Tribolium castaneum: one gene and its partner. The protein of the gene in region 1 purifies or fractionates together with the protein of each later gene. This does not show direct contact. Links are inferred from orthologs where the notes say so. Each region holds a gene or a part of one and is shown on either strand. Other genes may lie near its edges.

Region 1 (3,931 bases):
AGTTTGCCAAATAAATAGATATTTTTTGTAGGTATTTCTAAACATATCACACAGAAATGAACGTTTGCTATTAGATACATTAGTAGCTTTTTTACAATTGCTGAATAATATTCATTAATAACACTTAATAGCTAATATTAAATAATGGCTAAAATATTTTTCAAACCCCCAAAAAGTTAACTAATTTAAATTAAATGGCTCTTGTACAAGAAAAAAAATCACTTGTTAAAGCTCAACTAAAGAGACGGTTAATTAAAAAAAAATATAGTGTAAAATGGCGTGTTATATGCAACCTAATAAACACAAAATCCAACAACAGACGATATATACGCGACCACCAATACACATTTGTGTATTTGGTGAAATACTCAGTAAAAAGTTACTTCATAGCTTCATTCACAGGACATCATAATTGGATTTTTAATCAAACAAAAGAATTTGTTTTCATAACTTTATTTTGTAAAAAATACAACTTAAATCTTATAAATATGTATAAAGAAAATAATATAACTTATTTCCGGATTTATTTATTATTATTATAAAAAATACATCAAGAATTAGTGGGCAGAAATGCTAACTTGCCACACCCTGATAGTATTATCAGAATAGCCAGCAAACAAAGTTTGCCCATCTGTCGACCACGCAAGCGAAAGACACTGTGGTGGTTCAGCCTTGCTAAGCGGTTGCGAGACAACTTCTGGTCTAAGTTCCTCAACCATTTCCTTGCTCTCCAAATCCCAGATCTTGATAGAGGGTCCAAAAGCGGCACACAACCAATACCTTTAACAACGTTCTTCTTAAACAAATCCTAACAAACGAAACGTTTGAATGCTTCAAGCAAAAAAAAATCAGCCCCATATCCGCTAACCTCTCATAGCCAATCAAGTGGTTAAGTTTTGTGTCATCATTTCACAATCACACCGAAATAATAAATCACATCGATTATTACCTGTTTGGCGAAAAGCACAAAGCCGTGATGATATCATTATGGTCAAGTGTGTGCAAGTGTTTGCCATCGTTAAGATCCCAAAGCATTGCTTTGCAATCTTTACCGCCACTTGCACACAAGCTACCATCAGGAGAAACAGTCACAGTGTTCAAATAACCGGTGTGACCTGAATGGTTGATCTTGAGGCGGCAGTTGGTCAAGTTCCATACTTTGACCATGCGGTCCCAACCCGCCGACACGATGATGGGGTTCGAGTGGTTGGGCGAAAATCGCACGCAAGAAACCTAACAAAAAAGCTTAAATGGCAAACTTCCTTTTTCTTCAAATTTACAATTTCATTCACAAAACAAAAACAATAAACAACTAGGCACTGTTTTCAACAATATTTCCGCTGATATTTCTATTTATCTTGATGACATTGCACACGTAACTCATATTTTAAAGCTATTTAATAAAAAATTTCATGCGAGACACAAATTTAAAGTTTATACAGATAAAGAAATAGCTTCTAATAAATATTTAATTAATTTAATGTCCATATCATCCATACCGTCAGAAAATGTAGATTATAAAAAAATAGTCGCCACCCTTTTTTTTCAGTAAATTTAACAACTTTTAACAAGAAAAGAAAAAACATATCTACTACTAATAATGCAGCACTCGCCGTGCTCGTGTTGTAAAGAACTCACGTCGGAAATTTCTCCGAACACTTACCCAATCAGAGTGGCCATCGTCCTGGATGGTATACTTGCACTCGGCCAAAGTGTTCCACAATTTGATGGTCTTGTCGCGGGATCCTGACACGATTTGGCGGTTATCAACCGAGAAAGCCACACTTAAGACATCCTAAACAGATACATTTTTAAGTTTTGCGAATGATTGCTAACACACCCATTGGTAGGACTAGCCTAATATGTCTCACGATACTTACACAAGGGGGCCCAACAGTCAACTTCAGTCGCCGTTAATACAAAAAAAACAAAAAATCTTCCGACTGTTGCAACGTGAGATATCAAAACTGTAAAACGGTAAAAATGTATGTTTCAAACCTTGGTATGGTCCTCAAATCGACGCGTTGTTTTCCCAGCAGCCAAGTCCCACAAACGCAAGGTCTTGTCCCATGAGCCAGAAAGGGCGTAATTACCGTCGCTCGACAGGACAACGTCAGAAATAAAATGGGAATGGCCGTACAAACGCTTCTGGGGCACCCCGTAGCATGTCTCGTCACGTGTCAGTTTCCATACGATCAAAGTCTTGTCTAAAACCAACAAAATCGGAAATTATCCACGGGAAACATGCTCCCGAAGGCCAATTTGGCGAAATTGGGGCAAATTTCAAGCGGATGGTTGCGTAATTCACCAATAAATGGGGATTAGAAAGGAGATTATGGGTTAGAATTTGGGTTCTTACCTCGAGACGCGGACAAAATCAAGTCGGGGTATTTGGGGTTGGTCGCAATTTGCGTAATCCAGCCGTTGTGCCCCAAAAGGGTGCCTTTCAATTGAAGGGTTTCGGACATTTTTCAGAGGACCTTCCTCACACAAGACCGGCTCAAAAAGAAAAGGGAACGGAAGAGAGAGGTGGCTCTGCAGTTGCCAACCGAACAAAAACACCCATTACGCAACGAAAAGTCACTATTAGTCACTAGATTAGCTAACCACACCGGTTGGAGGGCCTGGATTTTTTTACGTTTTGCATAATTTGAAAACCAAACGGTTTTTACAACTTTGTTGTAGCCCCTCATTACAATTTGTGCAAAAAGTGGTACTTGAACATTTACAGTTTCCTGTATAGTTGGTTGTACTTCAAGATTTTTTACCTTTGGTCATTTCTAGTACCAAATTTTTGACGATTTTTTTGTGGAAACTGCGTTATGTCACACCTTTTATTTAATTTATCATGTTTTTTGTTATTTGAACCGGCCAATCAAGCGGCGTGGGCAGGGCCTGGGAAACAAACGACCTTGCTTGAGTAATGTCAACAAAGCGTCAAACTGTCTCTTACAAGCAATGAAAAGCCCCCAAACGCAAAAACCGATTAAATTTCGAACTCCGACGTCCGCTGTGTCAATATTATGCGACAAACCGCCCCAGGTAAAATTCTGTCCGTGATTAATGGAGTTCGATTTGAGTTTCCCGGTCGGTGGTGTGAGTGTACAAAGCCGCCGCTAGAGGTCTTATTAAATCCACCACATAATCGCCATTTTGGTGTGTTCATCCGAGAATAGATAAAAACTAAAATAACGAGTAATTTATGTAGAGAAACAAACCGAATTTCGAGCAGTTTAGTGTAATTATTTATGATCTAACTTATTTTCGTGTGTATGACCAGATACCGCTAGCAATGGATGATAAAGCGTCGTGTAAAGAACTGGATCAGTGGATAGAACAGTTAAATGACTGTAAGCAACTATCAGAAAATCAAGTAAAGACACTATGTGATAAGGTAAATATCGCCCCTTTGCCTAGTTTTAGTCCCTTGAATCGATTCGTGTTCGCTCCAATTAACGCAATTAAAGTGTTTATTTTAATTAGCACCGCCAGTTTACTCCTTATTTACAGTCCTGGTTACGTTATCTCTAATAAAATAAGCACTTTAGATCCTTGGAGCCCGATCTTTTATCAGATCCTCTCAAACAAACCACTGATTCATACCGATGATTACGAATGAATCAGTGGCGGCTCGTGGTTAAACCAGGTGAAGAGCTAACGAAATTCAAAATTTACAACCAAATTTCATGTTTTCCAATTCAAAGTCATAAACACAAGCATTCTATCATTCCTAATATGGCCAGAAATTTCCAAAGATGACTGAGAAACTTCACTAAAAAAGGTGACCTGACTTGACTTGACCTGACCGAGCTAAAATTAGGTTATGTTTTTTCTGTCGTCATCAATGAGTCATCGTGTGATGTCATTTTTTCCCTGTTCCAGGCGAAAGAGATCCTGTCGAAGGAGTCGAACGTACAAGAAGTGCGATGTC
Region 2 (3,136 bases), on another chromosome or scaffold:
ACACAAAATTGAAAAACAGTCCAAAAGACATGAAAAATCAATAAATAAATCAAAGAACTCCCTACAAATGAACTAGAGTTATGGTCGAATTTCAAGATTTTGATTTTAACATGAACATAATGTGAGATTGAAAAACCGATCATAAAATTTCAAATCTCTTTCTTTAGGAAAATTTAAGTATCAAAATGAAGCAATCCGAAGCTCAGATTAACTGAAATTAAAGAAAATATCGTTCTGTTTCAAAACTATAAAAACGCCAACATCGCATTTCACCAAATTATAAGATCCATAAAATTGTAAAACAGTTATTAATCTCTCGTTAAAAATATAAATTACATTAGTTATTATTTTTTTGAAGTGCATAAATAATTTTGAGAGAAAATGCGACGTATAAGTTTACTGCAACAAGTGATAAAGTCAAACATTTTAAGTTTTTCGTTAAGACGAGTACATTTTAAGGAAAATTCGAAGTTTTCTCTACCTAACTATAACATTTGTATTTGAAGAAAAACAACATTGATTTCGGTTATACAAGCGATATTAATTTAATCCGCAATTAAATGCCTGATTAGATGATTGCTGATTACGTGACTAAGTTAAACCAATCACGGAATGAACAGCGCATAAAATTTTAATAGAGCTTTCTATAAAGCGGTCTTAAAATTAAATTAAATTTGTGAAAAAGTTTAATTTCTTGACTTGGTAATTTTTTACAGTTATGGCCAACAGGAGCTCGAATAAAATTAAGAAAAACGTATAAAAAAATTCGAAGAAAACAATTTATATTAATTTTAAATTGTTAAACATTTTATCACCCAAAACGTAATTCTTCGATTAAATTAATTAGGTTAACACATAATTCAATACAAAATCTCAAAGAAAGTCTAAATGATATAGTTGTTAGAAAACTATAAAAAGCACATCTTTTACGACTCGCTTGACAACACTTCAATTGCCACGTGCCCCCACTCCCGCTTTACCAACAACAAACCATAATTCCACCGCTTTTAATGCTCACATTACGCCACTTATTATATCAATGAAAAGCAACTCTTTATAACCCACTTAACGTAAACAACGTCCATTCATCGCAATGTTTACCAACACACAAAACAAAAACAAACTCACCTTTTTTAGGGAAAATAATCTGCACGTCATGATCCTTCCTAATTTTCGTGATAACGGCACCACGTTTGCCGATAATCTTCGGATGATACTCAGGATTGACTTCAATCTTCAACGCAAACGCCTTCAATTCACGGTCTTTCCTATCGGCTTCCAACTCTTGCACCTTTTCTAGCAACGCCTCTTTAGCCCGCTCGACATTACTGGGCGTTCCGGTGATTTTAATCACATCTTCCTTGACTCCAGTCGGCGACAGGACAATATGGACATCGTATCTGTCCATCAATTCCTTCACATCGCGGCCTTTTTGCCCAATGATCGACCTGTGCAAGTCATAGGGCACGTCCACGCTGATGGTCACCGGGACCAAATCCAAGAGAGCTTGCTTCGCCTTAAGGCAGTTTTCTTCTTTACCGGTGATGCGGATGACGTCGCATTGGCGCACCGGCCCGCCGTTGATGTCGCCGTTCAACTGCCCATGGCCGGGGTATTCTTCCGTGTTCTCCCGATCGGGGAATTTGATCTGGACGTCGAAGTCGGAGGTGATGCCTTGCACCTTGAAGCCTTTGGCGCCCATGACGGTGCGGTGGTGGTTCTGCGGGATGACGCATTCGATGGTGATCATCGATTCGAGGTCTTGGATGATTTCGTTGATGCGTTGCTTCGCCGCCTCGATGCACTCCTTGGAGCCTTTGAGGACGACGCGGTCGCTGTCGACGCCCGAACGAGGGAAGGAGATCATCACACCGCCGCATTCGTCGCTGATCTTGTGGAGGACTTCGCCGCGACGCGCCACGAAGTGCTTGTGGTGGCGGGGTTCCACGGACATCTCGCTCTCGATAATATTGTCCTAAAGTAAATCAATTTTTTTAGTTGTCAAAATTTCGAACATGAAGACACAACTTACGATATCTTTGATGGTGGCTTGGAGGGCCGCTTTAGCCTCTTCCACGGCCTCCTTCTTGCCGATGATTGTGATAATCTCTCGATCGTCGTCGGTACTTGAAGGAAATACGATTCTAGCTCCAGTCGAATCGCGGATTTTCTTAATATTGGCACCGTTTTTGCCAATCAGGAACTTGTGGTGTTGAGCTTTGGCACGTACCTGAAATAGCAAAACAATGGCTGTTTGTTACAATGTAGTCCGAAAATGTGCAAATCACAAAATTTTAATTTAGGTGGACTTGATTTCAACCATAATTAAATAAAAACCCAAGTTTAGTACACTTTTTGATATTCTCCTTCAAACAAAAAATTATAGAATTATAAAAAATTGAATAAATTTTCAGAAAATAAAAATCACAAGAGACCGGATTTCATTTCATATTTTTTAAGCAAATTTCAAATAAGTTCATTTAACACCTCTTTTGTTTTGACCCGTAGTTTTGCCATTTGCTTTAACTAGATTAACTTACAGTCTAAATCAATTAATTCTGGACTGTATTAAAAAATAACGATATTTAATAAAAATTGTAGAATCAATATAAGGAGTGTCTTAGCTCAAAGCGATAATTTGAAAAACATTAAAACAATACTTAAAAAATTCATTTCTTTCAAATTTACAGGATTATCTCCATCAAGAAAAAGTGTTTCGGTTTTGATATTGATTGTTATTATAAAAATACTATCATTATGCGTATAAGTTAAATACATACGAACCACTAAAAAATAATCTAGATGATACTCTACAAAAAACTTTTTTAAAATAGATTTGTATAAAATTATCCGCGATATGAGTTGCTAAAACTTATTGAGAAAGCAGTTGTGTTAAAAGAAATAAAGAGACTAGTTCCAGAGGTTATTAAGTATACTGCACAACAATTAAACAGGATATTACTGTTTTTTAGAAATTTTTTGAAATAATTTTGGTCTTTTTTGCGTCGTACGCGAGAATTTTTTAATTTTTCGATTCTTTTAAATGTAGATTCCAGTGGCGTACTGTACTCATCTTTTGTGTTTAAATTAAGTTTATGGATTTAAGTTTAAATGTGCTTAAGTTTACATAATATGG

Evidence for each region.
Region 2: the proteins of Rack1 (region 1) and Dp1 purify together in Homo sapiens (affinity purification with mass spectrometry; 3 studies listed by BioGRID and IntAct, with this or other methods). This does not show direct contact. The link is inferred for Tribolium castaneum from reciprocal best matches to the Homo sapiens genes RACK1 and HDLBP.

Annotation. Positions count from the first base shown.
Region 1 is NC_087399.1:653,595-657,525, forward strand, and holds Rack1 (small ribosomal subunit protein RACK1), read right to left. Parts: upstream 2,539-3,931; 5' UTR 2,469-2,538; coding exon 2,360-2,468; intron 2,208-2,359; coding exon 1,999-2,207; intron 1,796-1,998; coding exon 1,664-1,795; intron 1,234-1,663; coding exon 950-1,233; intron 781-949; coding exon 558-780; 3' UTR 508-557; downstream 1-507. Other genes in the region: mts (serine/threonine-protein phosphatase 2A catalytic subunit beta isoform), read left to right, coding at 2,959-3,042, 3,281-3,394, 3,883-3,931. UniProt on the Homo sapiens protein: Scaffolding protein involved in the recruitment, assembly and/or regulation of a variety of signaling molecules. Interacts with a wide variety of proteins and plays a role in many cellular processes.
Region 2 is NC_087395.1:19,404,598-19,407,733, reverse strand, and holds part of Dp1 (vigilin), read right to left. Parts: intron 2,231-3,136; coding exon 2,033-2,230; intron 1,976-2,032; coding exon 1,129-1,975; intron 1-1,128. UniProt on the Homo sapiens protein: Appears to play a role in cell sterol metabolism. It may function to protect cells from over-accumulation of cholesterol.